3 linked regions of the Ovis aries genome follow. The protein of the gene in region 2 purifies or fractionates together with the protein of the main gene of each other region. This does not show direct contact. Links are inferred from orthologs where the notes say so. Each region holds a gene or a part of one and is shown on either strand. Other genes may lie near its edges.

The links. The genes of interacting proteins can lie anywhere in the genome.
Region 1: the proteins of CLGN (region 2) and TCTN2 purify together in Homo sapiens (affinity purification with mass spectrometry; 3 studies listed by BioGRID and IntAct, with this or other methods). This does not show direct contact. The link is inferred for Ovis aries from reciprocal best matches to the Homo sapiens genes CLGN and TCTN2.
Region 3: the proteins of CLGN (region 2) and SLC12A2 purify together in Homo sapiens (co-immunoprecipitation; 3 studies listed by BioGRID and IntAct, with this or other methods). This does not show direct contact. The link is inferred for Ovis aries from reciprocal best matches to the Homo sapiens genes CLGN and SLC12A2.

The regions. Positions count from the first base shown.
Region 1 is NC_056070.1:52,066,006-52,070,059, forward strand, and holds the start of TCTN2 (tectonic-2), read right to left. Parts: upstream 2,806-4,054; 5' UTR 2,696-2,805; coding exon 2,614-2,695; intron 2,448-2,613; coding exon 2,340-2,447; intron 1,910-2,339; coding exon 1,833-1,909; intron 545-1,832; coding exon 349-544; intron 1-348.
Region 2 is NC_056070.1:17,352,848-17,356,825, reverse strand, and holds the start of CLGN (calmegin), read right to left. Parts: upstream 2,808-3,978; 5' UTR 2,684-2,807; intron 1-2,683. UniProt on the Homo sapiens protein: Functions during spermatogenesis as a chaperone for a range of client proteins that are important for sperm adhesion onto the egg zona pellucida and for subsequent penetration of the zona pellucida.
Region 3 is NC_056058.1:23,632,627-23,636,646, forward strand, and holds the start of SLC12A2 (solute carrier family 12 member 2), read right to left. Parts: upstream 2,806-4,020; 5' UTR 2,616-2,805; coding exon 1,890-2,615; intron 1-1,889. UniProt on the Homo sapiens protein: Cation-chloride cotransporter which mediates the electroneutral transport of chloride, potassium and/or sodium ions across the membrane. Plays a vital role in the regulation of ionic balance and cell volume.

The DNA.
Region 1 (4,054 bases), about 35 Mb from region 2:
TTAAGCATATTTTTTAAAAGAAAAAAAAGTTGCTGCTCTGAGTGGTACAGTTACTATTAAGCCCTCCTGGGCTTAATAATTTTCTTTTTTGGCCATGCTGTGTGGCTTATGGGATCTTAATTCTCCAACCAGGGATCGAACCCATGCCCCTTGAATTCAAAGTGAGGAGCCCTAAATCACTGGACCACCAGGGAATTCCCTGGAAACTGTTAAAATAAGAAAATTAAACAAAAGAAAAATAAGTTTAGGAAAGCAAGACAGACTCACGAGCGAAGCACACAAACTGCATGGCACACACGTATTCAAACATCTGCAGTGAACATCTTGATAGTCGGAGACTTTACTTGCCTGATGCATTTTGGCCCAGAGAGGAGTTGGCATAAATTTCCACATGAATGAGCAGATGTGCTAAACAGGATGTATTACGAAAGGCTGAAACAAGAAGAGTTTGGACAATACACGGGGCCTCCAGGAAGGGATCTGTCTCATTAGAGGAACATGACTGCAGATCCCTCTTCAACCTCACGGTCACTTCCAAAGAATTCTGAAAGGAAAATATCACTGTACTTTATATGGTGACTCAAATGGCATCTATAAGAACACATAAGGTTAAGTAAGCTCAATCTGCCTCCATTCATTTTACAAAAGGCAAACTGGACCAATGACATCATTCTGCTCAATTTTACCCTGTAAACCTACAGCAGTACACAGGCCCTGATTCCTAATCCTCAGCTGAATATACAAGCAAACAAGTTGTGGCTGCTTGTTGTTTGGTCACCAAGTCGTGTCCAACTTTTGTGACTCCATGGACTGTAGCCCGGCAGGAGTCTCTGTCCATGGGATTCTCCAGGCAAGAATACTAGAGTGGGTTGCCATTTCCTTCTCTAGGGGATCTTCCCGACCCAGGGACTGAGCCCAGGTCTCCTGCGTTGGCAGGTGGATTCTTTACCACTGAGCCACCTGGAAAGCCCTTTGGCTGTTTAGAGAAAGCTGAACACAGGTCTGATAAAGATATTTGTCTGGCACCTTTATTATCCTACTGGCAGAAGATTAAATACACACAACTAAAAGTCCATGGAACAGGCCCTGGTTCCTAGGGTGCAAGCAAAGTCTGTCTGTCTCTTTTATGTTCGGAGTTGATGTTTTGCAGATACTAGGCACTCTATGAAGTATCTATTAAGTGGAAAATATTTCATTTCTCCAGGCTTGAGTGTCCTTACACATAAGCCCAGAGTTGGGTGAGACCAGCAATTCATGAAGCTCTTCTGAGTCACAGGTTCATTTGATAATCTGACAGAAGCTGGAAAGCCTCTCATCAGAAAAAAATGCACACACACATAACTTTATACACAATTTTAGAGAGTTCACAGCTTTTTTTTTTTTTTTTTTGGCCTGTGCCATGCAGTTTTTGAGGTCTTAGTTCCCCAACCTGGGAATGAACCTGGGCCCTTGGCAGCGACAGCATGTTGTTCTAACCATGGGACCACCAGGGAATTCCCTCACAAGCTTCTTGAAACTCGTCCAAGAACCTCTGGGCTGAATGAGTGCCTACAGGATCAGATAGCCCACAGTTTCATGGTGGTTCCAAGCACTAAGTTCTATCTTGTCTGATTAAAAGAACACTGCAGGGGAAGTTCCCTGGAGGTTCAGTGGTTAGGACTCGGCGCTTTCACCGCCTTGGTCCAAGTTCAATCAATCCCTGCTCAGGGAACTAAGACCCTATAAGCTGCTGGGCGCAGTCAAAAAGAGAGAGAGAAAAAAGCAACACTGCAGGAGCACCAGATGCAGGACTCCATAAATGCTACTGAGAAGGTTTCCACCTCTGGCCTTACCACAGTCCGGGTGACAGTCAAACTCCAGTCTCCTGTCTCATTGTTCAGCTCGCCACAGGTAGGAACTGGCAATAAACCTACAGGAGAGATTAGAATGCAACAGAGCATTGCCCAGCCACCAAGGTATGCACTCTGGAGTCAGATTTCCTAGGATGGAACACCTTTCCAAGCCTAGGACTGGACTCTTTGCAAGCTGTGTGACTTTCGACCTGTGACAACCTCTCTGAACTTCAGTGTCTTCATTTGTTAAAAGGAACTAAAAGGCATTACTGTTCTTATTAGGAAAATGAGGTGATGTATTTAAGTACATGGGAGAGCTCAGTGAATGCTAACTTGTAATTTCAAGCTTTCTTTTACTCATCCTGTCTGTTGGTCCTCTGGTCCACAGCAGCCCCCATCCCGACTTTGCAGGGGACAGCTCCAAGGGACTCAGAGGATGCCACCTGGCCAGGCTTCTTGGGCGGCCTGAAGCTGGCCCAACCTCCTCCCTCCCCACAGGCTCTTTACCCATCTCGTCCCGCAGCTGGGTCAGGGACACAGTCACATCCTCGGTGCCTCCGACCAGAGACGCGCTGACCACAGGGCCGGACATGCGGATGACAGAAGGAATGAAAACTAGGCGGGAAGAAAGGGACAAGGAGGAGTTAATAGTTGCAGAACCGCTGGGTGATGGCTTTCTTTGCGGTGTCTTCCGCAGCTCTGGCGGCAGTCCCAGATTTGGCCTCAAGAATCGTCCTCTCCCTCATCCCCGTCTTGCAGGCCCCTGCCCCGCCTTACACACCCAGATCTCCCCTTAGCGGCCTCAAGACGCCTTGCAGAAGGAGGAGTCCCAAAAGCAAAGGGACCGGCGGCAACAAACGCATGCCTGGGCCTGCACAACAAGGCTGCGCCCGCCTTAGAAGACTGGAAGCGCGGGGACTCGGAAGCACTGCCCGGGAGGCCTGGCCGCCACCATCTTGTCAAGCGAACGCCTGGAGCTATGGCAACCACCAATCGGCCGCCGGTCTGACGAAAGGCGAGCCGTGATTGGACCAATCACGAGCAGAGAGAGCCCGCCCTCAAACCCATCCGCAGCAGCCTAGCCCTGCCACAGGCCTTAGGTCCTTCTAGGGGCATCACTCCATGTAAAGTATCACGAAAAAGTAGGAGTCCGCGTCTAGTTTAAAACCCCGAATTTCTCCAACATGGAGTTAATTCAGTCATTCTGGAGTTAATGCATATGCGAGGCCGCAGGCTCTGGGTTCTAAACAAGCAACTTTTAAACTTGATTTTTTATGAGAATTTGGGGGGAGGGACAAAAAGGGGGTGAAGTTGCAGCGCTGTAATTGTTCTGTTGTATTGTTTTTATTATTCTCCGTTTTTCAGAGGTTTTGTCTGTTTCTACCACACAGAGTGAGACAGTGAAGGATAGGGAAGCCTGGCGTGCTGCAGTCCGTGGGGTTGCAGAGTGGGACAGGAGTTAGCGACTGAACAACCACCACATAGAGCTCTCAGATCTCTGAAAGTAGGTCTTCTCAAAACTACACACACGAAGTTTTAGCACCATTAGAACAGATGCAAAATTACCAAAATTCTGCCTGGGGAAAAAAAAAATTCATTTTTCTTATGTCAGCAGCCTCAAAGGATCACAAGCGTTATCATAGCTCAGTGACTTAAAGGTGCAGGGTCTGAGGTTGGACTGCATGGTTTGAATTTCACCTTCATGTTAAGTGATCTTAGGAAAGTCACTTAACCTCTCTAAACTTAGGTTTCCTCAGCTTTATTTCCGCCCCCTCATCTTTAAAGGAGGTAATAGTCTCTCCCAAATAGGGTTGTGTGAGAAGTGAGGCAACACACCTAATAAGCTTAGCCTAATGCCTGATGTACAGTAAGTACTCAATAAATGTTCACTCATTTTGTTAGCTATTAGATGAGCGGTAAACCAATTCACGGGCAGAATCCATGTACGGTGCATAAAAAATCTTCTATTAAAAACTTCATACCAATCTATAGTTGTATAGTATTTGTAACAATATTTTTGTGTATAGTTTTAGCAAGATTGAAATTAAAGTTCTTTAGAGTTGAATAAAAAATTGACATGTGAACAAACCCAGTTAAAAAGTACACAGTTGAAGATGAATGAGCATGAAATAACCAGTAAGAAGAAATAACTCAGGGAAATATGAAAATTTTAATTATTTTATTATAAAAATTTATACAAAATAAACCATAAACACAACAGC
Region 2 (3,978 bases):
GAAGCTCTCTCCTTCCTTGATTTCCATGATGCTATTCCTGAGTCTTGATTCTCTTCATCTTCTCTGCCACCTTTATGGGCTTTCTCTAATCTCCTGTAAATGACGCTGTTCCTTCAGGTTCTGTCCCCAGGCTTTCTCCTTACATTTCATATACTCTTGGCCTCTACCTCTAAAGACTGCTGCTGCTGCTAAGGCGCGTCAGTTGTGCCTGACTCTGTGTGACCCCACAGACGGCAGCTCACTAGGCTCCCCCGTCCCTGGGATTCTCCAGGCAAGAACACTGGAGTGGGTTGCCATTTCCTTCTCCAATGCATGAAAGTGAAAAGTGAAAGGGAAGTCGCTCAGTCGTGTCCGACTCTTCGCGACCCCATGGACTGCAGCCCACCAGGCTCCTCCACCCATGGGATTTGCCAGGCAAGAGTACTGAAGCGGGGTGCCATTGCCTTCTCCGACCCCTAAAGACTCCCAAATGCTATCCACAGCACAGAAGCCATCACCCTTTAGTTTCTTCTAGGATGTAGCAAAGCCTCCATTAATTTGAGGCTCATCTTTCCACCCAAACCAGTTCTCTAATCTCAATTCCCTTCTTCCATTAACTGCACCTCTGGTCAACCAAATCAGCCATGTTACTCTGTCACTATCTTATGATTATTCTTGCTGATATTCTATACCACTGGTAGTTAAACCTGTTTGGTTGTATATATTATTGAATGTATATATATCCATGCCACAGCCTTAATTTAGGAATCCATGACTTCTGAAAAGCATCAGTAAAGTCCCACTTTGCTTCTTCACTTCCAGCCTTCCCAATCAATCTATCTGCCACCTTCTCTCGAGCATGAATTTTCTAAAGAACAAGTGTACTACCTGTTCATAAAAACGTTCAACAGCTGTCTACAGTTCTCAGTATAAATTCTGCTCTTTTAAGACTCATTTCTTACTCTTGACACTCACCTATTAACACATTCGTGCTTTCTATCTGCTATTATAACTGAGATGCTTCTGGTATTCAGTTTTAATGGCTGACTGAGGACTCACCAGCACGACTAAGCCTCAAAAGTACTGTTGGAAAAAATCACTAAAGTTTTAGTTGTCATGTAACTTCAGGAGCTCAACTACAAAGTGATATGATAGAAAGTACACTGAGTTTGGCACCACCATACCAAGTTTCATATTCTATTACTAAAAAGGAAAGGGTTAAAATTGTTCTAAACCTCCCCCCTACCCCATCTATCAAGTGAAAGGATTAAGCTGGATGATCTTAATGTCTATTAAAGCTAGCAATTCTAGCTTTCCAGTTAAGAGCACTAAAACTTATTAGGAACAAGCAATAAGGTTAATTTACAGCACTTGACAACCCACTCCAGTATTCTCGCCTGGAGAATCCCATGGACAGAGGAGCCTGGCGGGCTATAGTCCATCGGGTCCCAGAGTCCATCCAACACGGCTGAAGTGACTAAGCACAGCACGGTTCAGTTTCTGCGGATCCATTAACATACACCATCCATACACAATAACCAACTTTATCAACTAGATGAGGGCTATCTTCGATGGATTTACCTATAAGCTCTCAATGTGACTGGAAGACCAAACCAATGGCACGTGAAGACAAAACTGTAAACTTAAAAGAAGTCAAACAATTGCCCAAAGGAAGGTTACCTTCAGTAAAAGACCTAGAGTGACCTAAGAATTTAAAAGCAAACAAACTCGCAAGGCTAGATCAAGGTTTTGATGTCTTTAAAGCATCAAAAAGTCTCCATACAAACTAACTTTCCTAATTCGAGAGTTCCTCCCACGGCCACTCTCCAATGATCTGCTTTCTCCCTTCTGGACGTCGTTGCCATTTGCTTATATATCCAAAGCAAACGCCTCGGATTCCTGTTGCTCCGGCAGGTGCTATAAATAAAATCAGCTAAAGGCTCTGATCGTAAACAGCCGACGGCGATAATGAGTCTCGAGTCATTACGGCTTCGTGGGATTCATCCCGACGCTCTCCCTCCCTCCCCAGCGGCGCGCACCGGGCTCCAGGCGGCGCGTCGAGGGAGCGGCCGGGAGTCGCGGGCCACCAGCGCCGCGAGGTCGGGTCCCTCCGCCTCTACAGCGGCGGGGAGGGCGTGAACTGAGCCTAGCTGGGTTTCACTCGCCTGTCGGTGCGAAGCAGCGGGCGGAGAGAGCAGCGCTGAAGCGAGACCGGCCCCCTCTCCATCCCTCGGGAGCGCGCCCCGGGGCTCGAGCGTGGAACGGGGCTGAGATGGCAACCGCTGGAGTAACGGACTCGGCCCCCGGGGCCTCTGAACCTCGGGGACGGGCCGGGCTGACGGGCCACCTGGCCTTCCCCGCGCCAGCCCCAGCGCCGCAGGTGGCCGTGGACACAGAAGTGCCGGGCGTCCCAACCGACCCCGAGGGGGCATCTCCCCAGCGCCGCCCGCCCGGGCCGGCCTCCCCGCCCCCGAGGCCCGGAGGGCCCGCCCGAGAACCTCTCCCGGACGCGGACGCTGGCGCGTCCCCATCCCCAAACTCAACACCCACCTCCCCACGGGGCCCCGCCGGGTCCGCCGGGCGGACGCCCAAGAAAGGGGCGCAGCAGGAACCCCCGCCCAGCGGGGGAGAGCTAGGACTCGGCCTCCTCACCCCCAGCTGGAGCGCAGAGGACGCGGAAAGTGACCTACTACTGCCCACGCACCTGTCTCGCGGGCCCGTTTTCGGGAGTGGCAGCTCAGGTGTCCGAGCCGCTGCCACTTGCTCCCCGCGTCTCCCCTAGCTCAGTCCAGCCGCCGGCCGCGCAGCAGCGACTGCTAACCGCGCGTGCGCGTGCGGCCGCGGGCGGGGAGGAGGCGGCGGCCACAGGCGCGTGCTGCGCGCACCTGCACCGAGGGCCTCAACCGCCGCGGAGGCACCTTCCCAACCACGCGCCGCGCGGCCCCGCCAGCCGGTGGTTGCGTGCATCCGGCTCCTCGGATGGCCTGGGAGGAATTCCTCGCTATCCATCCGGAGGCCCTTCCCTCCCGCAGAGCGCCTGCTCTCTGCAAGCAGTGAGCTTCTACCTCCTAAAGCACATAATTGGGCCCTGAATTTTGAGTAAATCACATTTTAACAGCGTCGAGTTAGTACCCCAGGCCTTCCCTGGGGTTCTAGACGTTCTGATGAGAGGTCATTGTGGTCAACAGGGAGCTATTCTTCCCTGAAAGTGTATGATATATTAAATATTAACATAATAAATAGTACTACATGGTTTCTTTTTGAAATGCTACTGATAAGAATTGTTAACCTTTCGTTGTGTTTCAGTTCAGTCGCTCAGTCGTGTCCGACTCTTTGCGACCCCATGAATTGCAGCTCTCCAGGCCTCCCTGTCCATCACCAACTCCCGGAGTTCACTCAGACTCACATCCATCGAGTCAGTGACGCCATCCAGCCATCTCATCCTCTGTCGTCCCCTTTTCCTCCTGCCCCCAATCCCTCCCAGCATCAGAGTCTTTTCCAATGAGTCAACTCTTCGCATGAGGTGGCCAAAGTACTGGAGTTTACTGAGCTCTAAACGGTTTCATTATACATTCATTATGTTATTGAACGTCCCAACAACCTTGGTGAAAAAAACTGAAGATAGTTATTTGCCTTTGGCTTGAAGTATTAATAAATAGTGGAAATGGGGTTCAAATCTTTTCCAGAGCCTGTCATTTTAACTCACACTAAAAGTTAAAATATAGCATAAACATAGTAGTGAATCACAACTTTCTTTGCCCCATAGATATTGGATCATACATCCCTTACTGCTTATTCTTGATAGTAAATTTTGACTTTGATTTTGGTATTATCATGCTTTCAATTTTATTGTAATAATAAAATACTTAACTTGTGATATCTCTGTTAAGAGTCTCAGATTAAGGGAATTGATGGAGCTCCATGCATAAAATGTTATTACTGGCTAGATATCAAGATCACTGAACATTTCTCACACAGCATCCGTGATAAGGCCACTAT
Region 3 (4,020 bases), on a different chromosome or scaffold from region 2:
TGAAGGACCAATATAAGACTGAAATGGTAACTACACTGGCCATTATTTTGCTGGTACTTAACAAGGGCCTTTGTGTACATTTTTTTTCTCTAATCTTCAAAAGAACTCTGAAAGATGAGGAAGCTGAGGCTGACAGGCCAGGTGACTTCTTCAACAACTGCGCATCTAAACCATGCCGGTGTTCTTTCTCATACATTGTGAGCGGACCAAAACCACCAAACAAAACCCTGAAATTTGGGGAGAACTAGAAGTGATTTGCTATTTAGAGAATGTAATTTAAAATAACAAAAACTTTCCCAGGAAGCATACAAGATCAAGGTATATAATAATATCCTTCAATAAAAAAAGCCTTTAAGACTTATGCATAATACAGACTGTTTTACTACTCAACTAAGGGCTTTGATGAAATAAATCTGAAAATATCTATACAGTATTTTCAATAATAAAAATGCTCTAAGAAAAGGGAAATTACCAGCTACATAAACCAGCTACATAATCTACTTTATAAGGACTATATAAGGAATTTTGGAAAAAAAAGAATAGATTTGAGAGGAACAACAGAAATATGAATAAAATGTTTTTTAAAAAATGTTTTCTTCTGAAATGACAAAATACCATAACGGAATGAAAGGAGTAGTATTATCCTTAAATGATGCCAGGCTTTTAAACAATCGATACACTGTAAGGGTTGGGATCTCAGTAATTATCTCAATGAATATTATGTCACATTTTCAAACACTGGGGCAGGTGTAATCTTGTATAAAATGACTGTATGAGATCAAATAATCATATCCAAAAGAAATTACATACTTTCTGTATTTCTATTTCAACTTTTCGACACTATGATCACATCAATCTACATGGTACTACTAACTCTTAGCATTCACAAATTCCATCAATGTAGTCATTATACACTTGTAAAGGCAGACTTCAAGCAATCCAAGTTATAAAAGAAGTTAATTATTAATCAAATCTCAAAGGCATCAATGTCATCTCAAAAGAACGATTTTGTACCCTGAAGAAATAAAAAGTCTTATGGGGTCATAAAAAATAGAATTACAGAAATCAATAGTTTATAGGGATGGCTTTCTGATCACAAAGTGTAACTACTTACGCAAGACCCCAAAAGGTCTTTTCTAGATAGACATCCTCCACAGAAAAAACAAGTCTCCTGTTTTTCTCTCCCTCTCCCTCTTTTAGACTCTGCCCACTCCACCCCCCCTTTTGATGTGACCCTCTTCCAAAAGGTTACATTATAAAAGGTGGATTTATGCTATTATCAGGAACAACTTGTCCCAAGATTTAAGATTTCTATGATCTTTGGACATTCAAGATTGCAGGTACAGAGCTTTAATAATTCATAGACCACAAACACGCTGCTAAGGCTTTCCCTTCAAACACTAACGTTCCCACTCTTGGGAGCCCTAATGGGTATACAGAAGCCATACAATACAACCTTTAAAAAAAGGCACGGATGGCAGGTTCTCTCCAATCCCTCCTGAGAGATGTCCTCAACTAAACCTTCCGCACATTCCCTTGTCCGGACCTAAAAGCACAACTGTCATTCAGAGGGATGGTAATTGGTAAGCGTGGGTAAGAAAAAAAAAAAAAAAGGCATAACTAAATATACAACTGGATGGGGAAGGTTGTTAAAAGCAGCCTCTCCTGTATCACGTAACTAGCCTAACCCGCTGCAAACTTTCAAGATATTAAGTTACATTCCTCTGCAATTCCACCCTTGACAGCTGAATCCAGAGATGCCAGCGAGTCATGCACGTCCATTCCCGCCGCCTTACCCGTGGAGAGCCGGCGGCTGTGTCCCGCGGTCAGCGTGAACCAGAGGCTGGGGAGGAGGGGAGGGCTGCAGGGAGAGGGCCGGGAGAGCTCACCTTTTCCAACTCATCGTGGAGCTCCGCCAGGCTGGGCCGGAGCAGCTTCTCGCCTAGCTGCGCTGCCGTGTGCCGATAGTGGTCGATCCTGGGCACGGCGTCCATAGTGTTGTGGCCGAAGGTGCGCAGGTAGTAGGTGTTGGTGTGGGTGTCATAGTAGTAGTGCTGGTGGTGCCCGCTGCCGCCGCCGCCCGAGTGCAGGCTGCTCCCCTCGCTCAGCACCGTGTCCCCGCCGTTGTGGAAGCTCACGTTGGGCCCGTCGCCTCCGATCCCTGCCGCATCAGACACGCTCTCGTCCGCCGACGAAGAGGCAGCCGGGTCCACGAAGTTCACGCGGAAGCGGCCCTTGGCTTCCTCGCTGGCCTTAGCCTGCCCGCTTTCGACGCTGGCTTTCCCGTCCGCGGGGGTCTCCTTGCCTCCCGCTCCAGCGCTAGCCGCCGCCGCCGCCGCCCGCCCGGCATTCTCGGAAACCAGATCCACCTGGAAGCGGCTCTGGCTCGGGGTGGGCCCCAGGGGTCTGCCCAGCCCGTCGCCGCCCGCCGCGGCGCCCTCCCCGCGGACCCCACCACCGCCACGGCTCACAGCTGCAGCATCCTCCGGCGCTGAGGGCACGGCTGTGCCGGGCAGGTCCATCCCGGCGGCGGCCAGCGGGGCGGCTGGAGGCGTCTCCCCAACCCCGGCCAGCCTAGGGGCGCCGGAGGAGGGCGCCGTGGGCCCCGGTTCCATCGCCGCCCGACCCCCGGCGGACCCGGAGAACCTGGCGGACCTCGAGGGCTGCACGCCCTCCGCGCCCCCGGCCGGCGGTGGTAGCGGCCGCAACACCAGGTGGGGGAGTCGCACTCACAGCCGCGCGCTCGCCGCCGCTAGCCCGAGCCGGCACGAACGCCTCCGGCGGCCGAGTCTGCGCGCGAGTGTGGCGGGCGCGGGGCGGGCCCCGCTGTTTAAAGCCTCGGCGGTGCCGCGGCGGTGGCGGCTCCGGCAGCAGCACGCGGGAGGCGGGGCCCGCGGCTCCTCCGCCCCTCAGCCCGCCCACCCGCGGACCGGCAGAGGCGCGCGGCAGAGGTTCCCTCGGTTCCCGGTGGGTCCAGGCTTCTGCGCGGTTCCACGCAGGAATCGCGTCCGGCCAGTCCGAGCCGGGCCTCCGGCAGCACGAGCTGCGTGATCGGGGAGCGGCCGCCAGCCGCCGTCGCCGGGAAGATCTCTGCGCGGCTACCTCCTCTTCCGTCGCCCTCCTCCCACCCTTCCACCTCCTTCCCCCGCCCCACTCTGCGGCGGAGAGGAGCTGGCCCCCGGCCTCCTCCCTTCCTCCCCGCCCCTAGGGCCGCGCGTCAGTGGGCCGGCACCCAGGCCACGGCGGACCAGCTGCGGACGGCGCCCAGCCCGAGCAGGCTGGAGAAGGGGCGCACGGGCCGTGCCTCGGCGCACGCCGATCGCTGATGCTCAGGCGCCAACTGCCACCACGGCGGCGGCTCCGAGGGATGTCGCCCGCTTGCCTTTTTTTTTTTTTTTTAAGCTCTGAGCTCGCAGTACGGGGCTCAGACGGCGAGATCTCGCGAGATGCTGCAGGGCTACTGGGCTGATTACCCTGCGGCGCTTGGTACCCGAGGCGATGCTGGAGCCGCTGACCGCCCAGCGCGCCTGCGGGTGATGCGGCCGGTTTTCTCGTCCATCCCGCAGGTGCTTCCGGAGTTTTAGGCAAGATGCGCCCGGGGCGAGGCCTGCGCGGAGATCTGGCTCGCCGCTACTCCCCCCACTCACTCCAGGCCTGCGCCTTTGGGGAGGAAGGATTTCCTCTGTACTGTCTTTGAGGCGTTTACCCCCAGGCAGCGTTAATTTGCATAATCTGTTACTAATTCTTGTGGTGATGCAGTGGGTGTGTTCACTCTTACAATGACACCTTCATTTTAAAAGCTGTGATGTTTGAAGACGAGAACGGAGCCTAGTTGTGATAGATAACTTATTGTATCAAGACGATTTTTAACTTGAAGTTGTTTTTTTTTTTTTAATGAATATATTGAGAGCAAAAACTAACAGTGGAGCACTTGCTTGGAAGTTTCGACGTGGTTTAGGTTATGAAGAATTCTATTTCAAGTAAAATAGTAAGGTACCTCTCTCCTGTCCAGGCCTATTT